Lepisosteus oculatus: one gene and its partners. The protein of the gene in region 1 purifies or fractionates together with the protein of each later gene. This does not show direct contact. Links are inferred from orthologs where the notes say so. Each region holds a gene or a part of one and is shown on either strand. Other genes may lie near its edges. The genes, in order: tnfaip3, tnip2 and mtor.

Region 1 (7,650 bases):
GTCTTTATGGTTATAGCAATCGGTTCTGAACTAGTGACAGCAGGCACCAGAAAGTGTGCCGCACGATGTGCACGCGTGGAAACGCACTGATCTACATGATCCTATAAGGGTTATATATAAAAATGCAATTGTAGCAATCTTCCCTTACAGCCCGGTTCACAGACCACGTCTTTCATAAAACGCACTCGTGTCTGGGGTTTAACTGCAGACTGAAGTTTGTGAACAGAACTGGCGTTATCGCTCCGGTGCGTTTAAAAAAATCAGACAAACATTCACATATATGGATAAGAACTGTGCCGGACTGACAACACTTAACACCATTAACACAAGTAACCGCGACCAAGAGCGCAGTTTCAACGGCAACGAACGAATGAACTGGAACAGAATATTTTAAAAGCTACCAAAACTTACCTTTACAATGTATCTAGGACAGACAAAACTCCTCGATGCTGTACTGTACAAAAAGGTAACCCTGAACCCCAAGCTCTAGACTGTATAACCCACAGTCCCAAACGCCATTAAACCTTCATATCCCTTGGGTAGTATGATTGCTTCTTGGTTCAGGCTCCACTCACTCAGGCTAGAGACTTGTCAACTAAACAAGAAAAAAAAACGACCTCTAGATAAGTTAGAGACTTTTTTTTTTCACATGGAAAAGCCCGGGTGGGGATTTCCAGTATGAGGGACTTTCCACTTAAGCTTGCACAATTTTAGAGGTACTAAAATACGCTCATCGAACGCTAGGGGGAGAAAGAGACAGACACTCTGGAAAGCTGGTCTGTTGTCATAAAGAAACCTTACATAAGGACACGATCAGACCATTCATAGACCAACGCATGATCTCAGATCTTGAAGTCCCTGCTCATTTTTAAGGGAATGTTATGACCTAAAGTATCGCCCAGCGGTAAAGAAAAACACATTATTCTTAATAGTATAAACTGCATGCGTAATGTATCTGTAAAGGAAAAAACCCCACTAATGGTGTCTTTTCCCTTTGAAAGTTTGATGTTTTATAAAAAAGTCAAATATTTTAGCACCCTGATATTCTAGGCATTAAAAGACCGCTTGCTTTGTAAAGCACAAAAACAAAATGACATTTTCCCGGCAAAAGTGTTCCTATCCATCCAACGGTCTTCCTTAAAACAGAAGTCAAGCAACATTTGTATATTCAGAAGGGTAATACGTACAAACTGTATATTTCACTTTTACTTCGGGTGAGCGTGTACGAATTTGGCAGCAGTGAAAGGTAACGAAAAAGACAGCTGATCACACACGCATACTGTACTATTAGATCAGTATCAGCAACTTGTTCTGCTCCTTTAGAAGCGGGGGAGGGCATCAGAAGGCAGAACCCACAAGCCCTCAGGACATCACTCAATCTGTCTCCTCCCAGACGCGACTCCTACTGGCTGGCTAGTCACCAGGATTCTGCCAGGCGGATTCAGACATCCTTGTAAATACCCGAGCTTTAAAAAAAAAAATCCAGTAGGCCTCCACACTCTGGCGTAAATACCAGAAAAAAAACACACTGCGTTTTTGGGGAGATCTGGAGTTGTATTTCTGTCTTGCTGCACCAGAGTGGCGAGCATGCGCTTCTGCAGTGTGGTGCTTTCAGGAGTTAGGCTGAGGGAAATTATTTTATGATCTGTACAGAAAGGGACGTCCCAGACTGAAGATGAAATGTGTCAGGGTCTTTCAGACTCTGCGGGGGATGAGTGTTACTCCACAGCCCCCATCTGAAGGAGAAGCTTGAAGTCAATAAAGTGCCAGTGAACTTCCTCCAGTTTTTGAAAACAGCCAGGCCCCCTGTTCTCTCTTTCGGGTTCAGCTTCAGTCTTCTTCAATGCCTGGAGGGCTCACTGAGCTCCTCCTAGCAGATGGTCACTTGATCTCCGAGGAGTGATGATCAGAGGAAAAGCACCTTGTGGACAGAGGCCCTTGTGCCTGCTGTGAGTGTTGATGAACTCATCTCCAGCCACTTTCACACCTCACACAGGATATTGTGTAACACAGAGAGAATCCTTATCTCCCTTTTGGGTTTGCATTCTAATAGCTAGACTTGAACATAAGAAAACAATGAGAATAGGCCATAAGGCATGTCTAGTTCTTTAGTATCTAATTGATCTGAATTGATCTAATTGATTTAATGATCTGAGAATCTCAATCCACCATTTTTTTACAGAAGCCAGGACATCAAGATTCAACAAAAGAGCTAATAGACATCTTGTTCCAGACCCTCACCACCCTTAGTGTAAAGAACGGCATTCTTTCCTCAGTTTTAAAAGTACTTTCCCTTTCTCCTGTGGGTTTGGGGTTGTGTTTTTCTGGCAGAAATAATGCCATGATTTAAGGGACTGCCAGGGGGAGAATTCTGCTTTGTTCTTGATTTGTGGAAAGTTTCTATAAAAAGAAGATTTCAGTCAGGCAGAAGCTTACACAACAAAACAACAAAACAACTTTTTTTTTTCCATGAAATGATCATTTTAATTTTAAAACAAATTCTATTCCGAGAGAGAAAAAATCAGCAACCTGTTCGCCGAGGTAAAGTGTCTCTGTAGGAGCTGTGTGGCAGTTTCTTTCTGTTGCAATGTGACATAACCAGGGGTGTGACTGTTTAAAACGCGATCTTTCAACACAGGCAGGTTCAGGCCAACAAAACACACAAAAACACCCAGCTGTAACGTTTAAAGGCCCGAGTTGCAATTTATTTTACGAGGCGGGGAAACGCCTAACACCATCACCTAAAAACAAAAGCAAAACAGTCTCAGCTCTTCATCGAGCTTCTGCTTAAAATTCTTCATGAAGCCCCCGTCTAATATAAGCCGAGCAGCTACACTGCTGACCGGCCACTAACACAGAAAATTCTCAAACACGGTCCCTCCAACACTCTACACAAAATTTCCAAAAATCCACAAAATTCGGTTTCGTTTCCCTGAACTCACAAAGTCGCTCTGCTCCCTGCTCGGTCCTTCCGCTGGCGAGACGTACAGTACGCGCAGGGGCTGTCCTGGAGCAGCAGACAGCCACGCCCACAGACAGCCTCCGAGAGCTTCCTGTTCCTGTTTTGTAGTCACCTGCCTTCCTGCGGCTGGTCAGGTGACTGTGCGAGCAGCCCCTTCCCCAGAGGGGTCTGCGGAATGTGGTCCCTGCTGGGGCGGTGCTCTTACAACGTGTTTCATCCCAAGACCGTAGCCAGGCAACAATGAAGCCTGAACTCAGTCCCTTCGGGTGTTTATTGGTGTCCCTGCAGAGGAACAGGAGCTGTGCTGCCTCAGGCTCAACATCACAAATCAATGTAAAGTGGGACATGTTAATATTGCACGTACATGTATCCACCATTGCAGTATTACTACTTAACCACACCATGGAAAGTATTGCTGGGATCTGTTAATTTAGCCTTCACCAAAGGTTATGCTAAGATACAATAAAGCTGGCTTGCTTGAGCAACTTGCGCTGCATAACAAAGCATAACAAAATGCAGGACCAACAGCCATAAACGTACCATAAACAGGATAAAGCAGATCAATGCCTGCTGGATATCAAAGGACAGGACAAAGTAGTTCAACATAAACTATTTATTAAAGGACAGGTCTGTTTTGCACTGCAGACCCAACGATTGTGTTGCTGTCCTTATTGTGGAAGACCGAGTCAGAAAGTCAAGACAGTGACTATGCGTGGGAAAGGTTTTCTGTTCGCACCTAAGACCACTGTCTTAGGTGCAAACTAAAGCCTGTGATTCCTCACACCCATTCAACCAGAGAGAAGTGAAACAGACTGCAGGATGCCAAATGCCATCTTCCTGTCCTGGTTGTTTGACTTCTGACACTGCCCCTTTCCCTGTATGTTCCTTTGATATGTTAAAGTCTTGCCTACTTTTAATGTATAAAAAGGAAAGTATAACTTCAGTAAAGTGAGCATGTCTTGAGTGCTAGGGGGAACCCTTTCTCTGTGATATGCTCCCCTTCAGCTGATTGTATTAAAGATCTGTGTTTGACAATCTCCTAACCTGAGTGAAGACTGAGTTTTCTTCGACATTATTGAGCTCTAAAAAACTGAATCTGCACTGGACTGCGTCCTGCTCCTTTGATGAACATCCTGCTCCTTTGATGAACAATTTCCCACAACAACTTCGTAATCAAGGGTTGCTCACAGCTGTCCAACGGGAGTTCAGCAATGATTCACTGGGTGTGGGGGGCGTGGGCTCTCCCAACACCCTGGGTGGGCCTGGATGCTTGGACACACCCCCACACGCAGTGTGCGCAGGGAGGCATGCCGTTGCCCTGAGCCGACTCCTGCTGCGCTGCTGGGACAGGGTCAGGAAGTCATCGGAAACGCGGGATAAAAAAAAACAGACGGATTTCTGAATGATGACTAATGTACTGAATAATGTTCTTCTCCCCTAGACCAATGGCTGTGTAACATCAAGAAAGTTTTGTATACTCCCACTTCTGCAAAGTGTCCAAGCAATCTAAATGGGCTCTTCTCCTTTGTAACCTATCTTATAATCAAAGCCAGATCCACACTTACATCAGCCAATTACAGTGACTCCAGACCTCAGCTACCACACAGGAGGTGTTAGTTTCCCTGGATTCTGGAAATAAATTAATATCTGGCTGCAAACAGTACATCTGTAGTGCATCTATTTGACTGGCTTTGTGAGTGGAAAGTGTTGCATACCTGCTTACAAAACATTGTGAAAGGTGGAAGGAATTGTGGTGAGAAGTTAGGGCAGGGACTTCAAAGGTACAGGCTGACTGAAACTTCCCTTGTCACGTTGCTATCGCATCAGTATTGTTCCATTTTCATTTTAAAGTTAGACAAAGCAAGGTGGTGACAGGAAATGAAGATTCTGGGCTTTGAACTATTTATTCCTCTGAGCAACACTAAGCGAATAGTTCAGTCTTTGTCATGAAAGTCAACAAAAAGGAAATAATGTTAAATTACAATTGTGTGCTGTCCCTGTATCTCCCTTATAAAATGTATTTTTGTTTTTGCTTATAATATGCATAGGCATTTTCATCAGATAGGAAAAATTCCATCAAATTGAAAAACATTTGTCTTGTTTGACATCTTTATCTTGCATATTTTATAGATAAACATTGACTGAATATCCACCTCAGGGGCTACAACATAATCATGGTTCATGAATGATTAATGAATAAAATTGACATTTAAAAGGGTTGTAAAGATTTTTGTGTCTACAAAAAACAAATATGTCTAAGATATAAAATTCACAATGCTTGTCATAAGATCTTGTAACTCCACATATGGCCTTGTCTGCACACATCTCTCAACCTTGCAGATGAGGTCTGGAATCTGCAGTCTTCTTTCAATGCCAAAAATGTTCAGCTTCCTTGAATGCCCTTGAATGTATCTGGTGTTGCTCTTCAATGGACTGATTACAGACTGGATTGCAGCTCCAGACTCAACCAAACAGTCTTTGATTTAAATTCTCCACTTTTAACACTTGAACGTATCCTAGTGTTTTGCTTGCTGTTTCTACAGCTTCCCCACATTGTCAAGAGAAGATGCAAATTATGTGTCAACATAAATACCTCAGTCTTTGTCATAAGAAGCCCCTTCAGCTCAGTATTTCTCACTTTATGTTTGTAGTTTATGTTTCTGCTTCCTGCTTTTAATACCCTATACTTCTCTGTGTTAAATGTCTTGTGCCAGGTGTCTGACCAGTCTTGAATGTCATCTTTTTGCATGTCAGTTGTTGCTCCTGTAGTATTTGCCTATAGTAGTCACTTACCCACCAATACAATAGCCACTATATGCAGTAGTAGTTCAGGTGGGGAGCTGCGTCAGCATGCGTAGGCTGCAAAGGAACAAGTAATAGGTTTATTCCATGCTGGAAAAAAAGAAGAAAGAAAACACAACGTTTCGGCTGTGGTGCCTTCTTCAGGTGTTAGGGTATGCAGTAAATATGCAGTATGAGTGCACGATACCCATGTGCTGAAGATTTCTTCAGTCAGTAGAGGTCAGTGTACTTGTCAGTGACATTAGTGTGCCTTTCAACAGAATGGGTGCTGTAAGAGTATTTTACTGTTGAAAGAGCAGCAGAAGTAGGGCCCACAAACTGACTTTCTTCATTTCTTCAAACAAACCAGAACCCAATGGCACAAAAAGCACAGCACCTACTCCAGAGAAGCCTCAGCACCTCAGGCATTGCAAAGCGCTGTTCTGGGGATTTCCTGCAGCTGCCTGCCTGCCTGCAATTCAGCCTCGTACACTGAATGGCAGGGACTTTGACACAACTGTCCCCGGCATTCTGATTCACAGGTAGAGTGGAGTTTGAGTTTTTAAAGGAAGTGAAAGAAGACAGAAAACATTAATGACAGGGAGGAAAAGTAAATTATGTGAATAAAAACGTACGTTATTCCTGGGTTTCTCAAGGTGAGACACTGAACTCGTTTATGCACCTATGCTGTTATCTAAGGCATATCTAAAGGGATGTGGTGATGCTATCTTAAGCCATTGTGAGATGTAGTATGCAATCACACTTAGACGCAGCTATTAGAAGGTACTATCAACTCTATTTCCTCTTTCTCTGTGGTTTCTTCTGTTCCCCTTATCATTGCATCACCGTCCTGCTTTTACTGCTTCTGAATAGAGAAACCATTTCCTTGGGGGCTCTCTGCAGTGCTGATTGCTCCCTTTCTTGCACCGTATTTGAATGTCAGGGATTTCCCTTCCCGCTAATTCATTCTCTAAATAATTCAAGCTGAACACTATCCATGAGAGATCCAGGACAAACCAGCAGCCATATCACCCTGCAACTCCCAGCTGGCACCCCACTGAAGCTCAGCTGGTGTGAGCCTGGTTAGTACCTGGATGGGAGACCTCCTGGGGAAAACTAAGGTTGGTGCTGGAAGAGGTGTTAGTGGGGCCAGCAGGGGGTGCTCACCCTGCGGTCCATGTGGGTCCTCATGCCCCAGTATAGTGACGGGGACACTATACTGTAAACAGGCACCGTCCTTCGGATGAGACATAAAACCGAGGTCCTGACTCTCTGTGGTCATTAAAAATCCTGGGGTGTTTCTCGAAAAGAGTAGGGGTGTAACCCTGGTGTCCTGGCCAAAGTTCCCATTATCCCTTACCAATCATGGCCTCCTAATAATTCCCATCTCTGAACTGGCTTCATTACTCTGCTCTCCTCCCCACTGAGAGCTGATGTGTGGTGAGAGTACTGGCGCACTATGGCTGCCGTCGCATCATCCAGGTGGGGCTGCACATTGGTGGTGATGGAGGAGAGTCCCCATTACCTGTAAAGCGCTTTGAGTGGAGTGTCCAGAAAAGCGCTATATAAGTGTAAGCAATTATTATTATTATTATTATTATTATAAACGTGGCTTCTCCCAGAAAACTGCAGCTTTTGATGTCTGTTTCAGAAATCATAGCATTTTCTGGTCACATAGAGAAATGCACTTCCCATGTAGGAACCAGTGGGATGCAAAGTGAGTTTTACTTTCTGCACCTAAACACTCCAGAGACGCTTTCCAGTGTTTTCTAAGAAACATCTGCACACTGGTGCATCTGTTGGTGATCTGTTGCTCTGTACCATCCAAGGCTTAGATGTATTCAGTGTCCTCTAGAACTGTAAAACAAGGTGACTGTACCTTGTGAACGTGTTACAAATATAGCACC
Region 2 (7,156 bases), on another chromosome or scaffold:
ACCTCTTGATTGGCCTCTCTTTCTGTCCCTGAAGAAGGCTCCACGGCCGAAACGTTGTGTTCTCTTTCTTCTTTTTTTCAGCATGGAATAAACCTATTACTTGTTCCTTTGCAGCCTACGCATGCTGACGCAGCTACCCACCTAAATATTAGAATGTCCATTACCCCTGACCAAAGAGGACATCCAGAGGGCCTGATTCACATAGTCAGAATCCTTAAAGGCATTAACAGGATAAAGAAGAGAACACAAATGCAAACTAACTCAGGAAACCTTCTTGAAGAAAAGGCCAGGTTGCATTTTAAGTTTAATTAACTACAAGCCGAAAAATGAGGTACATGGGCTAAATGATCTTCTCCAGACTTTTGCAACATTCCTTATGTCTATGCATAATGTCACGTTTGCAATGCAATCTTATTTAAAGTAAAATAAAATCAGACTTAATGTGCCAAATCGTGTTTAGGATAGATTGATGTATTTTCTTCTTGATTTAAGTACTCTTCATAATACACATGCTTGTTTTGCATATTGTACTCAAAATGACAAATACTTTCATCCTGACTGTGCGTCTTTTCAATTACTGGGCACTAGGTTTCACATGAGCCTCTTGCAGGTTCCTCTAATAATGGAACTTCTCCCCTGTTTTTCCTTGTAATTATTTTAACGGAAGAATCATTACATTTATCAGTAATTTAGTCATATTAGACTAAGGAATTTGGCAGAGTTACAAAGTTTATTAATACTATTACTGTGCCGAGAAAAGGCTTGTGAACGCAAACTATTATAATTAGCATCTCAATTTCTTACCATGATGATAAATTCTATCACCATAATAACTTTTTTAAATTACAACTGGTATAGTAGTTTATGAAGTAAAACGTACTGTAGATGAATAACTGAGAATCAGTGTACATGTATGTGAAATAGTGAAAAGTTTAAGTACTACAATTAAGGGAATAATTATAATGATGTGGTTAATAAATGGATGACAAGTCTTTAAGTATAAGGTTGGACCACCTTATCCTACAGTTTACAATGGATGGAAATATTGTGAGTTTGGTCTTCTCAATACAGGATAGTGGAAATACACACAATCTAAAGGAATTTCAGAGGACCTCAGAAAATTAGTAGTTAATGCTTATCATTTTGGAGACAGTTACAAAACTACTTCTAAACATTTGGGACTCTATCCATCTACTGTTAGACAGATACTGTAGTCTACAAATGAAAAAATGTAACAATGACCCTATCCAGCTCCAGTCATCCTGCAAATTGCTCCCTGAGCCACTCAGAAAACCATCCAAGAAGCCCATGGTGACATCTAAGGCTTTCCAGGCCTCACTGAAGCTTATATCATTGTTCAGGCCTCAACTATCAAGAAAAGACTGAACTGGAATGGTTTTCTTGGGACAACAGACAGGAAGAGGGCATTGATCCTTACTTGCTGCCCATCTCAAGTTGGCCAAAGAGCACCCGGACCATGCACAAGACTACTGCAAGAGCTTAAGCCCTTTAGCCCCAATGAATAGTGCTGGCCTGCGTTGTACGCACTGCTTGCCAGGATAGGCTCCCCCACAGCTCTGTACTGGATAAGATGGTTAGAAAATGGGTGGATGGATGAAAAATGTTATGAATAGTAAAAACCAAACACTGTCTGACCCACAAAGCTTGCCATCATAGATGGAACTGGGAATCTGCTGTTGTATCGGCACATTCTGCAGGAGAGTATCACACCGTCTATTTGTCAGCTGAAGCTGAGCCAAAAGTGGGTCATGCAGTAAGACTATGATCCTAAAGGAACAAGTAATACGCTTATTCCATGCTGAAAAAAAGAAGAGAGAAACAACGTTTCGGCCGTGGAGCCTTCTTCAGCTGTGAGCTCTTCTTCAGGTGTGGCCACCTTCTTCAGGTGTGAGCTCACACCTGAAGAAGGCTCCATGGCTGAAACGTTCTGTTTTCTCTCTTCTTTTTTTCAGCATGGAATAAACCTATTACTTGTTCCTTTGCAGCCTACGCATGCTGACGCAGCTGCCCACCTGAACTATGATCCTAAATACACAAGCTGATCTGCAACAAGATGACTGAAGAGGTACGTAATTTCACATTTTGGATTGGCCAAGTCAAAGTCTGAATCTAAATCCCGAGGCAATGTTATGGCAGGGGCTTGAAGCAAACTGTTTAAGCAAAGAAACCCTCAAATGTTACTGACTTTTGAAGCAGCTGTATATGGAAGAATGCACAATTCCTCAAGCAAGAGACTGATAAAAAGTTACAGGAAATATGTAATTGAAGTCACTGCCGCTGTATGATATATACTGTATAATATATATGAGAATATGGATCAGCCTACAGGTTTGACAATTTTTTGGCACTGTATACGTGTTACTGTAATACTTCAGTACAGTATTGATATAATTCACAGCTGGTTCTTTCAGGAAATGTCTAGTTTGCTATTTTAACAGTAACCTATCTCTTTTCCCTAACCTCCTTCAAACATCCAGTCAGTTTTCTATTTGCCTAAAGTTGAAATGAGGTATCAAACATCCCTTCTGGTCGGTGTTATTATTGTAGATCATACTACAAGTCAACATCTATGTGACATACCCCACAGAATTAAGATGAGGGTACATTTTTCTTTGCAGTTGCGTATGTTCTGTACTGGGAAGCATCATTTTCTCTACCTGTGATCCAATGTTCTGTGTGAATTGTGAATTATAGATAATCATCTCAACATTAATCTATTTATTACTAGTATTTAAAATAATTTAAGCAGGTGAACTTAAGATTTTTTTGTACCATATATTACTTTGCAATACAAAGTTTGCGGAATTCATCATTGAAATAGAATGTTATACACTTCCTAAGAATACATATTTGATATTTACTGTATTTTAGTAAAAACTGCTGGATTGACGCAAAACATTTGATTTCATTCAGCAACTCAGTGATCCACATTCCCAGTCTTGAAGAGTAACAACTCTGTAGATTTTAAAAGGGTATTAGAATATTGATTTGACTTAAGACCTGGAAACAGCGGCAATATAAGAGAATTTTGGTTTTAATTGACTCAAGAGTTATCTGTCCAATCAATCAATTTGAATTAGAATCTCAGATTTAATGAATTCCAGAAGGCCCTTTGGCTCTCCAAATCCAGGTGTAAAAATCATCAGTACAGTTGAAATATTACATAAACAGTGAACACTGCGCAGTGACAAATATTTATAAAAAGAAGACGGATACAAGTGCCCCTTGTATACTGAACAATCGTGAATATTCGCAAAATACTGATAATTGTTGGCTGTTTAAAAGCCAGGAGCACTTAGCGCGCAAAACCATATGACCAAGCCAATATTTCCCACTGCAGGTACAGCAGAGAAAAACAAGTCAGTGGTTGTGAGGATTATTGTTTGTAAGGACAGACTTACATTTGTCAATAAAATTAATTTCCAGTCACACAAGCCCATCAGAAGATTGAAGGGGATTCCTTAGAGAGCTACAGTATAGTAGAAGGAAGCTTCGCATCTGCAAAGATGGTAAAAGAGTCCAGGTCTCTGTAATTTTTAAACCATTTTCCATTTAAACATTCTTGAGCCAAATGCATCAGAAAGTACAAAAAAACACAACTGCAACAGCAGCCATCTTTAAGGATAATGTATATGAATAGCCCACTGGCTGCAAAGAGGCTTAAGGAAAGAATAAAAACAAAATAAAAACATTACACGATGGACAATTCTACGAATATTGAGTGTTTGTCGGTACTGTTTAATTGGTAACGCGACATGTAAGAAACATTTAATCACAAGGGGGGGAAAACACTTGTAAAAAAAAACTTCTTAAAAGTCTGCTGTGTTTTTCATTTTTGTTTTAAAAAAAAGTGTTCGTTATGTAAGAAACCATGAAGTGAGAAACTTAGAAATTGTCCCGAGTATATCAACCGTGTGTAGCAAAGTGAAAAAAAAAATCCAGAATGATCAAAGTCTATTAAAAAAGAGGTGTTACGAATTCACCAGACAAGTTTACCGTCTATAACCGGAAACATCTCACGCATGTGCAGAAGTAGTCTTACTCTGTGACATGGCTAGATACATTCTACTGGAAAAAAAGAGAGAGAAACGGTTTCATTAAGAAAAGGAGTCAGGAGCGCTTGATCTTTTTCATTAATACATTTACCAGAAGTTACCAGAAGAGCTTAATCAGAGCGGTGCGGAAAAGAAGCAGTCATTGAAGGATCTCAGAGTTGCTAAGAAAGAAAAGTACAAGAAAAGTCCGCCGATGCGACTGGGGGAAGTCCCGAAGGAAATCCCCAGTAGGTACTGGAATATTATTTCGAAATTGTATGTACCGATCTATTATACGGCTGACCCTTGTCTCTGGGAGATGTTCGTAGAGCCCTCAGTCGAATAAAAAGTTAGTGCGCGTCTCAAGTGAAGAACACAGCGAATTTTAACCTGGAATGCTGGAGGATTAGCGGAGGGACATCCGATGTCGGCTCTTTCAGGTTGCGCAGAACGCCCGATCGCTGGATACAACCAAGCTGATTCTCTGATGGAAAGCATAAAGCGAGAAAACGCGGCGCTCAAAACAAAACTACAGAGCTACAATACTTTAAACACGTTCTACCACGAAACGAATCAAGAAATCGCCAAGTTAAGCCACCAGATGTGCCTGAAGGACAATATCATTGCTGACTTGAAGACAAGATTGGCCGCATACGAAAACACGACGGTTCATATGGGTGGAGAGGAACCTCTGGTTTTTGGACCTTCTAAATCCTTGTTCGAGAACCTGTGTCAAGAAATCGGTAAACTTAAGCATCAGCAGAGAGAGACCGAAAGAAGCGCTGATCGGCAATTGGGAAACATGAAACTAGTAAGTGATTTCTTGGTGTATAATGTGTACATCTGCTGCTTAAGATGTTATAATACTGCAATAAAATGCATTTTATTTGTAGCGGTTCCCCTGCTATTAGTAATAATTCCTTTTTTCTTATCTGAAAAATAAATATCTATATATATTAAACTAGTGGGTAATTTAATTATGACTGTAAGCCGCTGTAAATTGAAAAGGATTGTAATTTTCTTGTGACGCAAATAGAAAGGGGGATTTCTGCAGCGTCTGATGTAGGATGTTAGGAAGTTTCATTATAGGCCAAATGGTTACGGCTATATTTCCAATTCCGCCTCGCTGAACAAAGATCATTTGGGTTATATTACAGTATCGGTATAGTTAATAAAATTAGGTATTTTTTTATATTTATGTCCAATATTTAATGCACTTCTCAACTGTAATTAGAGTAATTATTTAAAAAGTACACATTTTGAACTTGGGTTGGACTCTGCTGACCTAGTTTTATTATAATCGAAAAATAAACGGCTGAGTGAACTACACATTCTATAAACGTCTTCCAGCTTTTAGCGATGAACGCGAGTGTGTGTTATATTGCTTACAACTCTAATTTAATTCAACTCTATTGCTCGTCTTTTTAGTGCCTTAGACAAATATCTCAATATCGTAAAGGTTCAGACATTCAGCGAAATAATTCATTTGCAATACTGAAACCGGAAGAGTAAAAACTTAAAACAAGCAACCTCCACTTTAGCTGGAAAAACTCAGTTTTTCCAAACCCCAAGAGCATTTCTCAGGGAAGAGCTGTATCATTTCATGGAAGGCACCGATTGGCAATGCTGGTGCTTTCACTAGAAACAAATGTGACTTGTTTATATGGTTTTTAAAGTTATCATTTACATTCATAAGCGTCTGTAAACAGGGTAAATGCAAACAGAAAATCAAGATTGTTTTGTTGTTGTTTTCAAAAGTATCTTATCTGGTTTGGTTGTTTTGTTTTTACTTGTTAATTCGTTTGGTGATTTCTTCTGTTTCTCTGCCATCCCTTTATGCCAGAAAGTGCATGGAACCTATTTTTGAAAAAAGGACTGTTTTGAGTTTAGTGTCCTGCGTTTTTTTTTAATGCTATTAGCATGTTGTGTTTCAGGGAATGTTCATGTCTGTGATTCTGTATTCTTACAGTTTCATGATTAGATGAAGAAATATGTTGATGTAGATACAGCATATAGACTTAGTTGAACATATGCCATTACATGTTTACTTCATTTGACCACACTAGGTAGATCAATTGACAAAAAAAAATATGTTCTCAAGGTGTTTGAACAAGCTAGCTTCTGTGCATATAGTTCCTGCAAGATAAGGGCATGACACTGAGAAATAAAAGAAAGCCTCCTTTATTTCAAATAATTTAGTAAGCAATGAATTTAAGATCATATACAGTACAGTGCAGAACTGAAGGTCAGCATCTCATCATTACTTTTCCCCAGTCTGTGTGTGGTCTGCATTGGACAGGAAAACATTTAAATTATGTGCTTTAAATAGATATAAAAACACACACAGCATAGGTATTCAAGATAAAACCACTCTTTATTTAAGATTAGCAACAAGCGTTTTATTTCTTGTAACTGTAAATCCCCACTCTCCGTGAATTTCAGGAGATTCAGGAACTGCAGCAGCAGCTGAGTGCCAAAGAGCAGGAAATCCAGAGAATCACCAGCAGGCCCCAGCACGAGAAGGACCTGGAGATCATGCAGCTGCAGCAGACCGTGGCGGAGAAGGACAGAGTCCAGGCCACAAGGGCGGTCCTGTGCTACTCTCTCGCCGAGGAGGCTGAAAATCTCAGGGCCCAGCTGGGCGCCACTGTAGGCGTGTGTCAGCAGCTACTGCAGAGACTGGAGAGGAAGCAGCAGAGGGAGGACTCCACCAGCAGTGCCACTCAATCAGAGCAGCCCAGAGAGGTACCTCAACCTGAGAGAAAGAGACCGTACAGCCCCTTATCATACACTGCTCTCAGCCTGCTGTAATACCACTGATGTACTCCGCGTGACTTTAGAGGAAATGTTAACATTATCCCAGCCAGAAAAAAATGCCAATAAGGCAAACCAATTCCAGTCTTTGCAAAGCTTATATAGTTCTTGACTGTGATTGCTAATCCTTGGTTTCCTGTTTTGTATCTCTCCAGGGTGCGGATTCGTCAAATTCTGCTCAGCTTCAAGCCTTGATTTGCCGGCTACAGGAAGAAAACAAATCTCTGAAACAGCAAGTGGCATATGTAAGTCTGCCGTGCTCAGCCTGTTGTGTTATGGTGGTTACA
Region 3 (7,188 bases), on another chromosome or scaffold:
GTTCTCAGGTCCGAGGCGGGTGGGCGCCGGCCAGCGGCAGCCCACTCCAGGCGCGAGGTGAAACGCCAAAAAAGGCCTGGCGGCAAAGCTCTTACCGCGGCGTGCCGTCGCCCCTCGTTCCTGTCCGCCCCCAGCCACTCCAGAGCCCTCTTGACCTCGAACTCCACGTACTCCGCAGTGAAGGTGTCCCCGGCCATCGACAGGTGGCCCATGGCCTTCGAGGCCATCTCCATGACCACCGGGTCACTGGAGGGCAGCAGGTTGCGGAGGTAGTTCGCAAATCGACTGATTCGCGTGGCATTTCCTCCTTCGACTCCAATCAGGCTCACTGTGTGAGGAAAACGGCACAGAAGCTCAGCACCGGCAGCCATTACGGAATAAGATGACCTGCGTTTCAGACAACACTGTTCGGTAGTGTCAGTATCGGGGTTTTCTTCATTCCTCGAGGAAACCTGGGGAACGGACACAGAAATCGCAGGACTGACTCACCAATGGCAAGGATGCCTCCTTTCTTCTCATTGACATCGGAGCTGGACACCAGCTCAAAGATATGATGGTTCAGCTCGTCATAGAAGGTGGTGGCCTCTTCTTGGCTGAGCTGGGAGAGACAGCGGCAACGAGAAAAGGGGCTGGGATTAACATTCCTGCGCTGGGCGAACCTTCAACAGTGCGCCACATCCGCCTCCACCATAGCAGCGCTGACTCGTTTGATCAATCAATTCTGTAAACCGCTAAGAAAACTGAAATCAAACCAGCAATAAATCAAATTCGACCCTCTTGGGTCCAAAGCACTTTCATTCCTCGAACAGGACTGAGACACGCACCACGCTGTGCTACACAGCACCCTGAGCCTCCCCCAGTGACGGGCAGGGGAAAGGGGCAGTGGGGACCCCACGGGTCTCCTCACCTCTCGCAGCTCGGTGGTGACGTAGTGCTGGAGGTCCTTGGCGGCTTTGGCCCGAGTCTCCTCACTGCGGCTCTTCAGGCCGCTGACGAACTGCTGCAGGACGGTGGCCGTTCCCGACATGATGGCCGCTGTCCAGCAGGGGGCGCCCACCTCCCCGTTCAACTGTATTAAAAAAAAAACAACACTCCTGGCAGCGGTTCAGGTGGGATTTTGGGGTTTTGTTTTTTGAAAAGGGGCAGAAAATGGAATTTTCTTCATCGACTGAAAACTAGAGGTATAGAACTGTCTTATTTACACTATATTGATATTTTCCCATAAGATGCTGTTTATATGCTGCTATGATTTCAAGGGAAATAACGGGAAAAATATGCACCAGAGCTATTTATGACCAATTCTCAGTTATCTCTATGTTGTCAAATGTGTAAAATGTTTGGAACTGCTCCTAGGAAAACAAAATGAGTCCCTTTGCACTGTGGTTGGATTATTTCTGGTTTTAAGAGTTGAAGATCTTCAAGAGACCGTGTCAATGCAGTGGAAAACGAAATACTTAAGATTATTTTGATTCCACATAAGAGGTCTAAGCGAGACAGACTGAAAATGACACAACAGGCATGAAGAAACTGGTACTGGCTTTTCTGCAGGTACTGGAAGCTTGGAAACCTGAAATGCTACAAAAACAATGGCAGCCTTGTTTCTCCCCAAAATATTTACAACGATTGTGGATTCCCTCACGACTCAAAAGATTGTCCCTGAGAACTGTTCTGACTGTGGTTGGCTTCTTTTAGTCAACACTATTATTCAGAACAAGAAAAAACTGATGTGATGTGCATAAATCCCAGGGAAGCTACACCTCATTTAATCACTGCCTTACAAGTATGAGAAAGCTGGGGGTCTTGTTTGATCCTGAGCTCTGTTTTGATACACACATAAAAGACACCTGAAAAGTCTCTTACTGTCACCTCAGACACGCTGGCTTTTCTTGACTGCACTGCTGCAGAAACCCTGATTCAAGCCTTCATCGCATCTCAGCTGGGTTAGTCTCCCTACCTGACTCCTAAACAAACTTCATCTGGTCCAAAACTCAGCTGCTTGACTTCTAACATGCTCAAAGGTGACCAATTCTGACACGTCTTCACTGAAGCCCCCGCTACCCAGCACTTTCAGTTCAAACTTTCACTGTTAACTTTTAAAGCCCTACGTGAAATACTCAACACCTCTCATTGCTCCCTGTGTACGGTACCAAACAGGGCTTCACACTCTGCTATAGCAGCACTTTTTACAGCTACAGGTCTTGAACTACCCTCTCAGATGCCCTGCTCAACAACTCTGGTGCTCACTCCCTGCCACTCTGACAGATGTAAACTCTTATACAGTTCCTGCTTAAAAATAGAAGAAAAGCAGATGACCATTTATAACACCTTTTGTGAGGAATTTAAGGAACCTGAGCAGAAGAGAGATACGTATCTGGGGTCCTCAAAGGGAGTCTTGGAACAACAAGTAATTGGCAGTTACAATTGGCAATCCAGTTCACTCTAGATAAAGTACATCCTTACTTTAGTCCAGTATTTACCACATCCATTACAGAAAAACTCAAGAAATAAACCTTAATAAAAGGGAAAAATATACGGTGCTTTTGACCCTCCAGGACAAAAGGCAGTGTGTAAATGCAATAAATGTCTTAACCATGCTTCCAGGTTTCCTCCCACAATCCAAAGACATAGCGGTGATTAATTGCTTTCTGGGAAACTCGGCCCTAGTGTGAGTGGGTGCCCTGCCATAGATTTTCGTCCCGTCCAGGGTGTACCCTGCCTTGTGCTTGCCGAGATGGGATTCAGCTCCCCCGCGACCCTGAACTGGACGAACCGGTTAAAAAATGGACGAATGAATTTGTATTGCTGCTGCACAGCCGGACCTCAGGCTCATAACCAAATCGCTGAAAAAAGACCCTGTTTGGTCCACTTTCTATATATACAGCAAGGGGAGAAGGTATTAAAAGCGGCATAACGTAATGATGAATCTAATTTGAATTAAAATGCCAATAAGTAAAGTAATAATTAATTTATATAGTAACATACTCTAAGATAGACGAAGTGGCTATATTACCTGAAGCGAGATTGCGACACTTTTAAAAAAATGCATCGATCGTCCTTAAAACTGTGTTACGAAAGGCTTCGGTGCACAACGTATTGCATGAATTAAAACGATATTAACGTTTTTGACAAAGTGGACGAATACAGTGTCCCTTAGCAAACCATGTCGTGCATTTTCTTAAATGATTCCTGTACTGAAGCAGCCTTCTTTGAAATACTGACATCGCATCATTAAATGCAAATAAACCAAGGCTCTGAGTATTAGGCTTAGTGCAATAAGCACAATTAACTGGCGTTTATTCAACAAAAAAACACCAAATTATTTTAATGATCCAAGCAAACGCATAATTTCAGTCAGGAAGAACAGTACTCACCAGTCTCAGATTATCACAACCTAATTTGGGAGGGCGACCCAAGACCTTGGAGAGATTTCTATTTTGACCAATGAAAATAAGAGAATTTGATGATTGACAACCACTCTACCCATTCAAAACACGCGAAAGTGATTGACTGGACCCGCTATCCAATGAAACGAAACATTGACTTGCAACAACTTCAGAAAAGGACCAATGTGAAAACGTTTGGCCTTTATTTACGAAATTGAGGATGCTGGTTTTTCATTTGTCGTGTGGGATAGTTTGGTTGGATGGCAACTGTTTAATATAAGCAAGAATCTTGTTTAAAAAAAAATAAAAAATCAAGACATCAGCGCTCATGCCATCGGAGACAATATGTAAAAGCGAAGCGGCAGCCGAAAATCCCAATGTTTAAATTGCATTTATTGCCCAACGACTGCAATAGCAACTTTTTGATCATTGGGAAAACAAAACATAGTAAAACCGAAATACATGTCGGATTTAAGATTGATTTAAGCGTGATCACAAGCGCTGAGCAATCTTTAGGGGACATATGTCCTTTTCTAGATAATTTATTTCCCCGGCATTGTTTTCAAAAGGAATAAAACCGCATCGTTGTTCTGCTAAAATAGGTGACCGAGACTAAGGGTACAGGATGGGTAGTCGGACACATTTCTCGGTTGCACAAGGGGCGGTGGAACAAGATGGCGCTGCCCAGGTGGAGGGCTTGCACGAAATATCCTCGTACTTGACACGTAGCGAAAATAAGATTAGTCCCCGTGTAACGGTTATAGAAGACGGAGAGGAAGAATGCTACTTTCAGCGCGTTAGAGAGACTAAACCCAGAAACAACAGGTACGTTGCGGGATATTTTATTTGTCGTGCCGGTGTACGCCGCATGCAGAGCGAGAACTTTAATACATGTAACGCCTAGTTTTAATTTTAGTCAAACACTTGTGCACAAATCTGTGCACAGATAACAATCTCCGTTTCATTTGTTTAGCTTTTGGAAGGTTAACCTGAAACTAAGTAGCTCAACTTTTTCCCCCCTCTCTCCAACGCACTCAGGAGTAGTTGTTTCACTTTCACACAACCTCATACAAAAGATAAGATTTTTCGTATTCAGTCAACATGTATGTCTTTGAAATACGCTTGTGTGTCCATGTCTTGTACAGTAGCTTAAATACAAATACGCCTTTGTTTTGCAAATAGTTTTCTCTGTTCGTTTGCTATTTTATTTTCTTCGGTAGGGGATATAGTAAAAGTGAACTTGATTGCATTGCTCATCCCAAAGTTAAGATTCCTGTACTGAAGCAGCCTTTTTTTAAATATTATTAAGAATAAGGATGTTGGGTGGCATTCTTTACTGACTTGCCTATACATATATTAATACTTCTCAAAGTAAGGTTTCTTAACTTCTATAGCAGAAAGTCATCAGAAACTAAAATGATTCTGAAACTTGGTTCACACCTTCCCCCTTTCTTTCAACGAAAGACTTGTTTTATTCTAAGTTTCTGTTCATTTGTAGGTTTCATTTTACACCTCTCCTCGCCTCTCTCGACCTCGCACCACTTGGTTTGCCACTCTGCCCCTCCCCTGCTCCTGCCACCTCCTCTCTCCTGGCTTGTGTTTTCCCAGGCTCTATTATCTTTGCTGCCTGCCCTGTCTTTCTTACACCTGAAGAAGGCTCCACAGCCGAAACGTTGTGTTTTCTTTCTTCTCTTTTCAGCGTGAAATAAACCTATTACTTGTCCCTATATATACATATTGAAATGGATACGCCTCTGTGCACAACAATGATCTTGGCCACCTGGGCTGAGGAAGGTCTTCTTTAGCTCAGCTGGCAAGACCCCTGTTGAGCGATGCCTTAGTCCCGGGTTCGTGCCCCTGCGGTGGAGGAATGAACTGGGGTGGGAGTGGCAAGGGCAGAAACCCGAAAACCCAAATCTGTTCCGATCTATTAAATTTGTATTCATGTGGATACAGTGGGCTAAAGTAGTTTAAATTGTTCAAGAATTTTTAAATCATATTAAAATGCATGCTTGTTCTCTAAAACTCGTTTTCTAATTGTATTTTTAGTGGTACACAACAAAATGTTTCCATTAGGAAGATTCTTTAAAGTATTACTTGCTCTTGCCAGTAATTTCTAAGTAGTGAAAATCTAAATTTGCCCAGAATTGGAGTGAAGAGGCAAGAAGTAAAGGGCAGTGTGTTTGGAGCTTGCTCATGTGATTTCTTTGCTTGTCCTTCCTCTGTCCCTGGGCTCTTTGTTTCAGGTGATCCCTACGTGTGATTATTTCCCGGCGGCGGTGTTCATCCTCGGGGTGCAGGGATGACGGAGGGGGAGAAACCCGGCTTTGCGTCAGAGACTTTTGTCCTGGCGGGACCGAACGGGCGGAGCGCAGGAGGAGGAGGGGATCCGGGGGAACATGTTTTTGTCCAGGACCACCAGGAGGAAAAACCCTGCAGCAGGACAAGTGACATGAAGCACAAATGCGCTGCTTACGTTCTGGCCCTGAGGCCGTGGAGCTTCAGTGCCTCTCTGACTCCGGTAGCTCTGGGCGGCGCCCTGGCCTACAAGTCCGAGGGCTCCCTTGACTTCGTGATCCTGCTGGTGAGCGCTGTGGCCGTCCTGGTGGTTCATGGAGCTGGAAACTTGGTGAACACTTACTATGACTTCTCCAAAGGGATTGACCACAAAAAGAGTGATGACCGGACACTGGTTGACCAGATTCTGGAGCCCCAGGATGTAGTCATGTTTGGAGCGGTTCTATACTCCCTGGGATGTTTGTGTGCAACTTGCCTGTATTTTCTGTCCACTCTGAAGCTGGAACACCTGGCTCTTATATATTTTGGAGGCCTGTCGAGCTCTTTCCTCTACACCGGAGGTGAATTACCCACAATTTGTCATGTAGCAATAGTGCATTTATGAGTTCCCTTTTGGGGGAAAAAAAACACTTTTATCCTCGTGATGTGGAATAGTGACTTGAAAAGATGTTGCTGCTTAAAAAATCTCGAGCTGTTTTTTTGGAAGTAGTTTTAAATTTGCCTTTATGGATGGTTTGGACCCTGTTATTTTATCCGTGGCTACAGGTGCGGCGCACGCTGTGCCTGCCTCGCCGTGCCACGTGTCCCCGCTGCTCCTGAGCGTTAACCCAGGTCTCAGCTCTTCCTTCTCCTCCGCAGGTATCGGGCTGAAGTACGTGGCCCTGGGCGACGTCGTGATCCTGATCACCTTCGGGCCGCTGGCCGTCATGTTCGCCCACGCCACGCAGGTGGGCTACCTCTCCGTCCTGCCCCTGCTCTACGCCATTCCGCTGGCCCTCAACACTGAAGCCATCCTGCACAGCAACAACACGCGGGACATGGACTCGGACCAGCAGGCGGGCATCGTGACGCTGGCCATTCTCCTCGGGCCCACGCTGTCTTACATGCTCTACAACCTGCTGCTCTTCATGCCCTACATCCTGTTCTCCATCCTCGCCACGCGCTGCACCATCAGCATGGCGCTGCCCCTGCTGACCCTGCCCATGGCCTTCCCCCTGGAGAAGCAGTTCAGGAGCCAGTGCTACTCCAAGATTCCCCAAAAGACTGCAAAGCTCAATCTCTTAATGGGACTCTTCTATGTCTTTGGTATTATATTGGCACCTCCAGGGAGCCTGCCAAAAGTGTAACCCCCACCCCAGCTCCATTGATTTTGATAAACGTGTTTTTTTTTATGTTGGTATTTTGTTATAGAGTTATTAAGATCAAGGGCTTTCATTTCATTAATTCAAATGAGTGCAGAGAAGGACGTGCAATTATTATAGATAGGACAAGTGTCTTGTTCTTTGCC

Evidence for each region.
Region 2: the proteins of tnfaip3 (region 1) and tnip2 purify together in Homo sapiens (affinity purification with western blotting; 5 studies listed by BioGRID and IntAct, with this or other methods). This does not show direct contact. The link is inferred for Lepisosteus oculatus from reciprocal best matches to the Homo sapiens genes TNFAIP3 and TNIP2.
Region 3: the proteins of tnfaip3 (region 1) and mtor purify together in Homo sapiens (affinity purification with western blotting, with the first as the bait; 3 studies listed by BioGRID). This does not show direct contact. The link is inferred for Lepisosteus oculatus from reciprocal best matches to the Homo sapiens genes TNFAIP3 and MTOR.

What each region holds. Positions count from the first base shown.
Region 1 is NC_090712.1:1,532,761-1,540,410, forward strand, and holds the start of tnfaip3 (tumor necrosis factor alpha-induced protein 3), read right to left. Parts: upstream 3,025-7,650; 5' UTR 2,943-3,024; intron 2,401-2,942; 5' UTR 1,188-2,400; exon of another isoform or gene 412-1,187; intron 1-411. UniProt on the Homo sapiens protein: Ubiquitin-editing enzyme that contains both ubiquitin ligase and deubiquitinase activities.
Region 2 is NC_090696.1:72,662,187-72,669,342, forward strand, and holds the start of tnip2 (TNFAIP3-interacting protein 2), read left to right. Parts: upstream 1-4,048; 5' UTR 4,049-4,479; coding exon 4,480-4,866; intron 4,867-6,497; coding exon 6,498-6,800; intron 6,801-7,024; coding exon 7,025-7,114; intron 7,115-7,156. UniProt on the Homo sapiens protein: Inhibits NF-kappa-B activation by blocking the interaction of RIPK1 with its downstream effector NEMO/IKBKG.
Region 3 is NC_090720.1:2,864,021-2,871,208, forward strand, and holds the start of mtor (serine/threonine-protein kinase mTOR), read right to left. Parts: upstream 3,105-7,188; 5' UTR 3,047-3,104; coding exon 3,011-3,046; intron 1,070-3,010; coding exon 908-1,069; intron 599-907; coding exon 490-598; intron 329-489; coding exon 96-328; intron 1-95. Other genes in the region: ubiad1 (ubiA prenyltransferase domain-containing protein 1), read left to right, coding at 5,686-6,241, 6,540-7,027. UniProt on the Homo sapiens protein: Serine/threonine protein kinase which is a central regulator of cellular metabolism, growth and survival in response to hormones, growth factors, nutrients, energy and stress signals.